Macaca mulatta: one gene and its partners. The protein of the gene in region 3 purifies or fractionates together with the protein of the main gene of each other region. This does not show direct contact. Links are inferred from orthologs where the notes say so. Each region holds a gene or a part of one and is shown on either strand. Other genes may lie near its edges.

Region 1 (4,160 bases), on a different chromosome or scaffold from region 3:
TGCTAATCTGCACCCAAAAAATAAGAAGGCAAGACAGGGACTCCAGGCCACCTTTGGTCTGCTCCTTGGAAGACTCGGCCCTTTTGGAAAGAACTGATACACTCATATACTATCTGGAAGACTCGGCCCTTTTGGAAAGAACTGATACACTATACTATCTGGAAGACTCGGCCCTTTTGGAAAGAACTGATACACTCATATACTATCTGGAAGACTCGGCCCTTTTGGAAAGAACTGACACACTCATATACTATCTTGCACACTGACCCTGAAGGGCAGCTCTTGTCATAACGCACACAACCCACCTGCGTTACCACAACCAGGCGGGCCAGGACAAAGCCTGCTTGCTGAGCCTTAGTCCTCAGGACCAGATGCCTCACCTGTCACTCTGGCCAACACTGCACCTTCAGGGCCACGTGGGACCCCTGAGGACCCACAGTCATCACCCAGCCTGGCCAACCTTGTGGTCATATTAGCATCCACTAACTCTTCCCAATTCCAGAAATAATTTACACATTAGAAATCTGAATTCGATGGGCTCAAATAATACTTTTTAAAAAAATAGCAGAATTTCCAAGGGCTCAAAATAATCATTAAACCAAAAATTTTGATTTTAAACTATAACAACTACTGAAGTGTTAGAAAGAACACTGTTCTGCCGGGCGCGGTGGCTCACGCCTGTAATCCCAGCACTTTGGGAGGACGAGGTGGGCCGATCACAAAGTCAGGAGATCGAGACCACGGTGAAACCCCGTCTCTACTAAAAACACAAAAAATTAGCCGGGCGCGGTGGCGGGTGCCTGTAGTCCCAGCTACTGGGGAGGCTGAGGCAGGAGAATGGCGTGAACCCGGGAGGCGGAGCTTGCAGTGAGCCGAGATCGCGCCACTGCACTCCAGCCTAGGAGACAGGGTGAGACTCCTGGGAGACAGGGCGAGACTCCGTCTCAAAAAAAAAAAAAAGAAAGAACACTGTTCTGAGCAGGAGAGTCTGGTGAGCCACGCAGAGCGAACCCACTGCGAATTCTCAGCAGCCTACTCCACCTTCAGGGACACATTTCCTCAGGACTGAGGGGCGCAGACTAGATGTTCCCAAAGTCTTCATTAGTTTGTGGTGTTCTTCCTGCTTTTCTTGCTAAAATGTCTTCTATGAAAAAAAAAAGTGTAATATAATAATGGCCACAGTAACTGACAGCCTTTTTATTTTTTAATTTTTCACTTTTTGAGACAGGGTCTCACTCTGTCACCCAGGCTGGAGTGCAGCAGTGGGATCTTGGCTCACTGCAACCTCCACTCCTGGGTTCAGGCTATTCTCGTGCCTCAGCCTCCCAAGTACCGGAGACTACAGGTGTGCACCACCACACCTGGCTGATTTTTGTATTTCTGATAGCCTTTTAAAAATACGTTTCAATTATAAGTTGGCAACTCCACGTTATTCCCTAAATTGTCTTGGTGTATATCTGGCTGCGTCAGCAAGGGTATTTTTATTTTTCTCACTCCAGTATTAACTTAGCCAATCCGCAGAGGCTGATGTGTTTCTCAACTTAAAGGCTTAAGAGAGCTAAAAACAAAAGAAAAACAAATGAGACCAGCTCTCATCAGAAGTCACTTTAGGAAAAGAGCTCTCTGAGGCGGAAGCAGAAATATGCCTGTAAATCCAATCAAGGTTGAGACGAAGGCAAAGCAGGCTGTTATCAACAATATTAAAACCTGGAAAAATAACTCGCCTTACAGGTTTAGCAGAGGGGATAAAGGAGAACCAAACTGGAATTTGACAGGGTCTGCCTGTACCACTAGGGAAGTCTCCTGGAGATGGACAATTGTGCGGGGCAGGAGGACAAAATCACCGGCTCTGCGACAACCTGTTCCTCCGATCCAGACCTCGGGAGGTCTGACTGGTCAGCTGGGACACGCAGACCCGCAAACCTGACACCGGGTCTTCGGTTTTTGCTGTAACCCCAGCTGCTACACTCACAGCACACCCAGCCAGAACAGAGTACCCCTGTGCCCTCTCCCACCCTCTCAGATTTCTGGTTGTCATGCAAATCCCTGGCTCACGAAGTTAGCTCCATCCTGTCCCCTTTTTTAGGAAAGAAAAGGGGAGGCGCTGGGGTCTCAGAACGTTTCTAGGGCACTCGGGAACCCCTCCCTCGGTGGCTTTCCAGGAACACACGGACACCCTCGCTGGAACTTCTGCACGAACCAGTGGCACAGCCCGACGACATCTCCCACCTCCGGAACCCCAGTCACGCTCCCGCGAAGCTCGCCAGCCCTGCCCCGGGCGCCCTCACCTTCCTCGCTCACGTCGTCCACGAAGTCCTCGGGGTCGCTGAAGGAGGGCTCGTCCGCGTCGCCGTTCTCCAGCGCCCGGGGCTCGGCCTCGGCCGCGCTGCCCTCGTTTCCTCCCGCGTCCTCGGACGCCGCCTGGGCCCGGCTGTCGGCGCACTCGTCCCGAGCCCGCTCTCCCGGGGCCTCGCCCTGTGCCGGGACAGGGGGCTCAGCGTGCGACCCAGGAGGTTCCTCGGCTGCCGGAGGCGAGAGCGACTCGGACGGGCCGGAGGCCGCCTCTGCCTCGGCCGCCGGCTCGGTCCTCACCTCCGGCTCCGGCCCGGCCTCCGCGACCGCCACCTCCTCACTAGAGGCCTCTGTCCCTGCCGCCTCCGGAGCGCCGGGCCCTGCGGGCCGCAGCAGCCCCTCGTCTGGCGGCGGCTCGGCGGCCGGTTGCTGCTGGCCGGGCTCGGCACGCTCTTCGGCCGCCTCGGGCACCGCCACGTTCTCTGCGTCCTGCATGGGCCCGACACTACCTACTCGCAGGGCTCCGCGGCCGCCGCGCTTCCGACTCTCCCAGGCCGCACCGCGCGCCGCGCCGGCTACAGCTCAGCCATGTGCGTGCGACGGGGAGGCCGTACCAAGGCCGCGGGGCGGGGGGTGTACCCACGCCCTGGAGCCTCACGACGACCCTGAGAGGACTCGCATCCGCAAGCCGCGTCCAGCAAATCACCAAACTGACATTCTTGTGACAAGAAAGTGCTTAATTCCATTCAACAAGGTTGTTTCCGTCCATCACTAAATTCATGGGCGCATTGGCCACCCCATATATGGCAGCGGATGGTTCTGTCCAACATGGCGGCCTCCCCTTTCCTCTCCCGTCGGACGCTGCGAGGCGGGGCTGAACTATTTGTGGCGCCCGAGGCGGGGACCAGAAATGATTTTAGTATCCAGAATGGGATGAAAATGTCCTCTAACTCAACAGTTATTATCATGGAAGAGTGGAGGCTCGACAGGCGATTGCTCAGGGCGTCTCAGCCTTTCGCTAGGCAAACTGTTTAGCTTACGTTACTAAAGACCCCCCTGTCGGTGTCTGACACTTGGACTCGCCTACTGACTGCGCAAAAGGACAGACTACTCCAAAAAGGAGAACAGGAATTCGGGGCGAGCCAGAGGCGGCCCGCACGACTAGAAAGACGACTCCCTGGCGCAATGCAAAAATGTATGCGAGTTGCTTTAATCGCTTACCCCCAGTCCTTCCCTAGCGGCCGTCACCGCCTGTTTCCCCCCATTCGGGCGTTCACAGTGTTTCGGTCCACGCGAGGCCACCGCCCTCCGCGCGGGAGACCGCGGGTCACGTGCGGGCGGGGGCGGGTTCTCGCCGCGTGGGGCGCGAGCCTCTCCGGAGCGGTTGGCTCTGGGCTGCTGTTCACGGGACGGGTATTGGGTGCTTGTGTCTTCTCTTGTTTTTTGCCGGAGTGGAGGACAACCACTAGAAAATAACCCAGTGGATCACGCCTGTTATCCCAAAACTTTGGGAGGCTGAGGCGGGGGGGATCGCTTGAGCTAAGGATTTCGAGACCAGCCTTGCCAACATAGCACCCCCACCCCCGCCAACCCTCATGTATACCAAAAATAAATAAATAAGTAAATAAATAAGTAAAACAAGTGGTACCCAGAGGCTGGGGAGGAGAGTGGGGAGTGTTTATCGGGAACGGACCTTCAGTTTGGGAGGATGAGAACATTTTGGAGATGACGGTGGTGATGGTTGCACAACATGGTGAATGTACCTGATGCCACTGAGCTGTATACTAAACTTCATATTAAAATGGCCACACCCCGCGCGGTGGCTCACACCTGTCTTCCCAGTACTTTGGGAGGCCAAGGCAGGAGGA
Region 2 (3,646 bases), on a different chromosome or scaffold from region 3:
GTTTCTCCTTCTCCAGTGATCATCAGTTCAGCAACTTGGACATTTGGGTTCTCCCCGTCCCGCGTCTGCCTGAAGCTTCCACGCCGCCCTGCTGCCTGCACACGGGGCTTTTTACACGTGCGGCCAGCCGGGGTCACGGGGCTGGTGGTGCTCACATGTCCCCGCCATCGGTGGGTCCTAGGACGCTGAGGCCACAAGTCCAGTCGGTCACAAGGTCTGTGGAGGCCAAAGGTCCTTTGGAGGCGGGGCTCTTGAACGGGTCGGGTGGTGCGGGCGGCGTCGGGAGTGGCTGGCCTCGGGCCGGGGTCTTGGCGCCCGCCGCATGGTTGCGCTGGTGCTTGCGGAGGTGGTCCTTGCGGATGAAGCTCTTGCCGCAGACCGTGCAGGTGAAGGGCCGCACGCCCGTGTGCGTTCGGTAGTGGTCGATGAGCTTGGAGCGTTCGGTGAAGCGCTTCTCACACTCGGTGCAGGGGAAGGGACGCTCGCCTGTGTGCAGCATGCGGTGGCGGATGAGGTGCGCAGGGCGTGTGAAGCAGCGGCCGCACTCCCCACACCGCAGGGCGCTGCCATCCCGTGCGCTGCCCCCACCGCTGCCGCTGCCCCCGCCGCCGCCACCGCCGCCGCCGCCGCCGCCACTGCCAGTGCCAGGGGCCGACCCGTCGGGCACCCCGCAGCTGCGCTGGTGCGCGCTCAGGCTGACCTGCAGCTGGAAGCTCTTCCCACACGTGGCACAGGTGAAGGGCCGGCCCCCGGGGGGCGCCGCGGGGTGCTTCTTCAGCCCTGGCTTGTGGCCAAAGCCTTTGGTCCGGCCAGGGTATTTACAGGGTTCGTTGAAGGGCCTCGGGGCCTGGCTGGGGTCCAAGACGGCCTCTCCGTTATCTGAGGAGTAAGGAAGCCCCTCCGGCCCCGTCCTCGGGTTCAGGCCCACTGGCGGTTTACACCGGAAATTCCAGCCCCACCGGACCCCCCCGAAGAGCCAGTCCCCAGGAGGGGTCTCCTCCTGGGCCACAGCAGGGCTGAGCTCACTCATGTCCCTCTCAGGCCGGGCGGGCTCTCGCAGCCCCAGCACAGGGTCCTGGCTGGGGAAGGAGCTGCCCTGGCTTTCCCAGGCTCCTTCCTGGGCAGGACTAGGGAAAAACCGCGTGGCTTGGCCTGGTCCAAACAGGGTCCCGTGAGCCTCTAGGTCAGTAGGATGTACAGGTGTGGCCACCACCTCCTCTTCCTGGACTTCTGTTTTTATTACAATTTTTACATCTGCTGAGAAAGACAAAAAGACAGATACTGACCTGTCCCGTACCTGCTGAGCGAGCCACGATCTGCCACCATCACTGCTCAGCAGCTGCTTGGCCACACGAACTCCACCAAGGCCCTCCTGGCTGAGCCCAGAGGGCAGCTCAGCAGAGCAGCCTGGTGGTTGTGAGGCGGCCTCCCACCGGAGGACACCAGTGTTCTGGCACCTTCACCACAGGAAAAGCCACCAGCATATCTGCTCCCCAGGTTCCATTTTTCAGTGTGGTTGTTAAGGCAAAGCATGAATTGATCCTCAGAAAGGAATTCGGACTGCTGCAGGTACTGTGCCCCACCGCAGTGCAGGGAATGGAGGTTCAGACAGCGCCGCCACACAGCAGCTGTGGGCTGCAGGCAGTTCCTAACCCACAGCTCATCTGTGAATGCCCACTTCACAGGTGTGAGGATTAAACCAGATGACATGTCTGAAAGTGCCTTAGTGAGCTATTTGACATGCAGCAGCATTCAATAAATGGACCCACTAGCTAATGATAAAAATATTACTGAATGTGTTTGATTTTATGTAAGTGTACTTGAACTTCACATTCTGAGGTTTCACATCAGGGATCTTGGCTATTAGCACGTGTTCTGGGTGCTAAAATATGACGTTATTAAAGTAACAGGTGACTGGGCTTTACAACAGAAGTAAACAGAAAGCTAACAGATAAATTTGGTGGCAGTTCTTCTGAAATCGGCTTTCAGACACCTGTCTTTGGTAGTACCAATATCTAAGAAGTGGTTTCAGTTCAGTTTTGTTTTCTTCCATGCCAGAGAGAAGCCACAGTTGCTTAAGCCTGGGGAGGAGGTATATCCTTCAATCGATCAGCTTATTAGAATACACCACTTAACACCATATGAAAAAGCAACAGACTGAAACATGGATGTCCTCAAGAAGGGCTGCGGACGCCTATGATTTGGGAAGGAGATAAAGAACAGAATGTGCAAAGGGTCATAAGAGTGCAGACACCCTAATGTCTATTGGCTGGAAGGTCAGAGCAGTTCACCAGTGAAAATGAGACGCCTGGATGGAGGTACTCCCCACAGGCAAGCATGGCCCTTCCCTTCCTCCTGTTGCCACCCGTACCTTCTGTGGAGGCTGCTGTGTTGAGCTTCAGGGTCCCGTCCGAGCATGCTGAAGAGGGATGGTGGGGAGGGAGATCCGCCTGCCAGGAGGTAGGTGGGATGGTGGTGGAAAAGTTGGAATGGACACCTGTGATAAGGGGAGAACAGAGCCTGTGGGTTAGGGGAGGGATGGGGAGGACAGAAGACTGCTGGGGAGGAGAGCAGGCTAAGCTCTGAGGTCCTCCCCACTGGGGGCTTTTCTGAGTGATCCCGGTTCTTTTGTCCCCCACTCTGAGGCACTGGGAAGCTCAGACATCATCGCTGTGTTTCACACGGGCCCGTCTTGAATAGAGGCAGCCAGTGACTTCAATGCCCAAAGATGGGGCAAGAGGAGCGGCCGCACGGTTATGGAGGGGCCACTGGAACAGGGCCAGAGAGATGCCCAGGAACAGCATCTGCGACCTGAGAGAGGCTCGAGACAAGTCCTTCAGTACAGTCCCACCTTAAAATGGGAAAATTTCTAAAGTTGTCAGGTCGGAAGTGTTGAGGGCCCACAGCTCCCCCATGCTGCCATGAGCCCTCCCCTGTCCCTCCTGTGATCCCTGAAACTCATTCCTTATGTCCCTGTCTCAGCCACTTACCAGAGGTGGCGTCCGTGGAGATGTCTGCTGCGCCGGAATCCAACTGGCTGAGGCCCCAGGGCTCCTCCCCGATATCTGGCTGCCCGGCTGCCCATGCCTCCACGCCCAGGGCCTGCTGCTCCTGGAGCTGGAGCTCACCCTCCTGCTTGATCTGCATCAAGAGGTCTGGGGCAGGAACTGGGGGCCCCGAGCCTAGGAAGGGGAGTGAGTGTGAGGATACAGCATCACGGCCCCAAGAGGTCTGGGGCGGACACGCACCTAGCTGGAGAGGTAGACACAGGGGCCTTACAAGGGTCCAACAGCAAAAGAGCCTGGTGGGAAGGCAGGCAGCAGCAAACAGGATGGGGGCCTAGGGCAGAGCCTGAGGTCACATGGTATTGGGAATGCAGGTAGGGCAGGAAAGGGTGAGGTGGGGGAGGGGAAGAATACACAAGCACATTCTCAGGGCTAGGCTGCCAGTCCAGGGGGAGACTGAGTTGCCCTGGGAATGGCCTGCCCTCACTTGAAACACAGAAATCCTGGACAAAAGTGAACCCCAAGTCCCCCCCAAAACCTTACCCCCCTCATATATTTAAGTGAGTGCAAAAGAAAAGATCCCAGAGGTAAGAATGACAGAGAACACACAAAGTCCAATCAAGAGTTACAGTGGAAGGCAA
Region 3 (3,646 bases):
TGGGGTTTCACCGTGTTGGCCAGGATGGTCTCAATCTCCTGACCTCATGATCCACCCACCTTGACCTCCCGAAGTGCTGGGATTACAGGTGTGAGCCACTGCACCTGGCCCATGGCAGTTCTTTACTCTTCACGTTTTGCTAAAGGATTGAGAAGGCCAGTTGCAGTGGCTTACGCCTGTAATCCCAGCACTTTGGGACGCTGAGGCAAGTGGATCGCTCGAGGTCAGGAGTTCGAGGCCAGCCTGGCCAACATGGTGAAACCCTGTCTCTGCTAAAAATACAAAAAAAAAAAAAAAAAAAAGCTAGCTGGGTGTGATGGTGGGCACTTGTAATCCCAGCTACTCAGGAGGCTGAGGTAGGAGAATCACTTGAACCTGGGAGGCAGAGGTTGCAGTGAGCCGAGATCACACCATAGCACTCCAGCCTGGGTGACAGAACAGGATTCCATCCCAGAAAAAAAAAAAAGAAGTAAAGATGTAATTCTGAGATGGTATGTTCATTGATACATGGTTAGCTGTTGTGTTCTTCCTAACCACAGAAAAATATTACAGATTATTTGGTGTTTGGTTCATGTGTGTGTATGTGTTTCTGTCTTCCCTGTCCAAAAGGACTTAATTGAAAAAACAAGGAAAAATAACAAAACTGAGATGTATAGCATTTTGGAGCTGAAAGAGATTTTAGGAATTACCTGATCCAGAACCTTCTTGTTACAGCTAAGAAAATGGATTCCTCAAAACATACAACTTAATTGATGAATAGGAAGATGGGCTCTCAAACTCTGGAACTGCAGAGCTTCCTCTGGATAGTTCAGGGCTCTGCAGGGAAAACTCTTGGTGTTTCTACCTCTGGTTCTATCTAGGATGAATTGAGACTCATGGATGTATGTTCCACCTCCTTCTGCAGAGTATGTATTCCCGCGTGCCAGAGTGCCAGGTCACCACATACTATTATGTTGGGTTTGCATATTTGATGATGCGTCGCTACCAGGATGCCATCCGGGTCTTCGCCAACATCCTCCTCTACATCCAGAGGACCAAGAGCATGTTTCAGAGGACCACATATAAGTATGAGATGGTAAGGGGGACTCTGCCTGCCACCAATGACCTTTCTAATCAGAAGGCTCCTTGGCACCTATGCCAACCGTTCTTGGTAAACACCATCCAAAATATTGCAATTTTAAGCCAGGAGTTCACGGCTGTAGAGTGCTCTATGATGATTGTGCCTACTAGTAGATCACCCAGCTGGAGTGCAGTGACGCAGTCACAGCTCACGTCAGCCTCAACCTCCTGGGATCAGGCGATCATCCTATCTCAGCCTTCCCAATAGCTGGGTCTAAAAGTGCACACAACAGACACAACAGCGGCTCAGCGGCTAATTTTTTTTTTTTTTGAGACCAAGTCTCTGTCACCCAGGCTGGAGTGCAGTGGTGCGGTCTCAGCTCACTGCAACCTCTGCTTCCTGGGTTCAAGTGATTCTCCAGCCTTAGCCTCCTGAGTAGCTGGGACTACAGACATGTGCCATCGCATCCAGCTGATTTTTGTATTTTTAGTAGAGATGGGGTTTCACCATTTGGCCAGGCTGGTCTCGAACTCCTGACCTCAGGTGATCCATCCACCTTGGCCTCCCAAAGTGTTGGGATTATAGGCGTGAACCACCACCCCCGGCCAAAATGATGTTTTAATGGCTAGCATACTCTAAGAGTTTCTGTTGTGATGCCTGTTATCTCAGATCATTAACATCTTGATGATAATATCTTTTGTTTCAATTATATCCTCCAGCAGTGCCTACATTTATTTATTCAGCATCAATATGAACATCAGGCCAGGCGCGGTGGCTCAAGCCTGTAATCCCAGCACTTTGGGAGGCCGAGACGGGTGGATCACGAGGTCAGGAGATCAAGACCATCCTGGCTAACACAGTGAAACCCTGTCTCTACTAAAAAATACAAAAAACTAGCCCGGCGAAGTGGCGGGCACCTGTAGTCGCAGCTGCTCGGTAGGCTGAAGCAGGAGAATGGCGTGAACCCGGGAGGCGGAGCTTGCAATGAGCTGAGATCCGGCCACTGCACTCCAGCCTGGGCGACAGAGCAAGACTCCGTCTCAAAAAAAAAAGAAAAATACAAACATCAGAGTGTTCACTGGCTTCTGAGTGTTTTAATATGAGGTGTGGGCCGGGCGTGGTGGCTCACGCCTGTAATCCCAGCACTTTGGGAGGCCGAGACGGGTGGATCACGAGGTCAGGAGATCGAGACCATCCTGGCTAACACGGTGAAACCCCATCTCTACTAAAAAATACAAAAAACTAGCCGGGTGAGGTGGCGGGCGCCTGTAGTCCCAGCTACTCCGGAGGCTGAGGCAGGAGAATGGCGCGAACCCCGGAGGCGGAGCTTGCAGTGAGCCGAGATCCGGCCACTGCACTCCAGCCTAGGCGACAGAGCGAGACTCCGTCTCAAAAAAAAAAAAAATAAGGTGTGGATATTGATGGGAAGGAGGATGGGTTCAAAGCATACATAGAATTGGGAGGAGCTTCCTAGGCAGAGAATAGCATGAGCAAAGTGGTTGAGACTTGAAGGTGTGGTGATGCAGCAGCACAATAAACCGTTTTGGCTGGAGGGCAAATAGGCAGTAGGAATTGGGTTATTGGATTCTGAGAACCTTCATTAACCCAGGTAAAGTATAGTCCCGTGTCATTTGATGCTGCAGATACATTCTGAGAAATGCACCGTTTGGTGATTTTGTTGTGTGAACATCCTAGAGTGTACTTACACAAACCTAGATGGGATAACCTACTACATACCCAGGCTACATGGTATAGCCTATGGCTCCTTGGCTACAAACTTCTAGAACATATTACTGTACTGAATAACATAGGCAGTTGTAACACAAGGTATTTGTGTATCTGAACAGAAAAGATACAGTAAAAATACAGGATTATAATCTTGTAGGATCACCATCCTATATGTAGCCCATGACCCGTTGTTGACTGAAACGTTGTTGCACAGCACATGACTGTTTAGTCTATATTCTGTCGGCATCAAAGTCGCATCAAAGGTTTTGGGTAACTCGATCCTAACTGGTGTAAAAGGATTGACCTGCTAGTGATGTGTGGGACAAACTGGAGAGACTAAGGCAGAGGTGCCAGTAAGGAATCCAGGAAATGGCTAAGGAGGATCTGGACCTAGGATGGAAGTTAAGTAGATCTAGAGGGAGGATTGGAAGAGAGGTGGGGTAAATTCCGTGGCTGGTATGAGACAACTGGGTAAGTGAAAGATCTGTGCAGAGAATGGTGAGGCCAGTTGACTGACGGTGGGGACCTCAGGAAGTCCATCTTATTTGACCGGGTACAACTCTCCACCCCATTCCCAGATTAACAAGCAGAATGAGCAGATGCATGCGCTGCTGGCCATTGCCCTCACTATGTACCCCATGCGTATTGATGAGAGCATTCACCTCCAGCTGCGGGAGAAATATGGGGACAAGATGCTGCGCATGCAGAAAGGTGACCCACAAGTCTATGAAGAACTTTTCAGTTACTCCTGCCCCAAGTTCCTATCGCCTGTAGTGCCCAACTATGATAATGTGCACCCCAACTACCACAAAGAGCCCTTCCTGCAGCAGCTGAAGGTGTTTTCTGATGAAGTGCAGC

Evidence for each region.
Region 1: the proteins of EIF3L (region 3) and EIF3B purify together in Homo sapiens (affinity purification with mass spectrometry; 8 studies listed by BioGRID and IntAct, counting the BioPlex papers as one, with this or other methods). This does not show direct contact. The link is inferred for Macaca mulatta from reciprocal best matches to the Homo sapiens genes EIF3L and EIF3B.
Region 2: the proteins of EIF3L (region 3) and ZNF746 purify together in Homo sapiens (affinity purification with mass spectrometry; 3 studies listed by BioGRID and IntAct, counting the BioPlex papers as one, with this or other methods). This does not show direct contact. The link is inferred for Macaca mulatta from reciprocal best matches to the Homo sapiens genes EIF3L and ZNF746.

What each region holds. Positions count from the first base shown.
Region 1 is NC_133408.1:36,333,805-36,337,964, reverse strand, and holds the start of EIF3B (eukaryotic translation initiation factor 3 subunit B), read right to left. Parts: upstream 2,842-4,160; 5' UTR 2,788-2,841; coding exon 2,289-2,787; intron 1-2,288.
Region 2 is NC_133408.1:189,297,195-189,300,840, forward strand, and holds part of ZNF746 (zinc finger protein 746), read right to left. Parts: intron 3,183-3,646; coding exon 2,991-3,182; intron 2,498-2,990; coding exon 2,372-2,497; intron 1,258-2,371; coding exon 152-1,257; 3' UTR 1-151.
Region 3 is NC_133415.1:13,635,200-13,638,845, reverse strand, and holds part of EIF3L (eukaryotic translation initiation factor 3 subunit L), read left to right. Parts: intron 1-904; coding exon 905-1,075; intron 1,076-3,366; coding exon 3,367-3,646. UniProt on the Homo sapiens protein: Component of the eukaryotic translation initiation factor 3 (eIF-3) complex, which is required for several steps in the initiation of protein synthesis.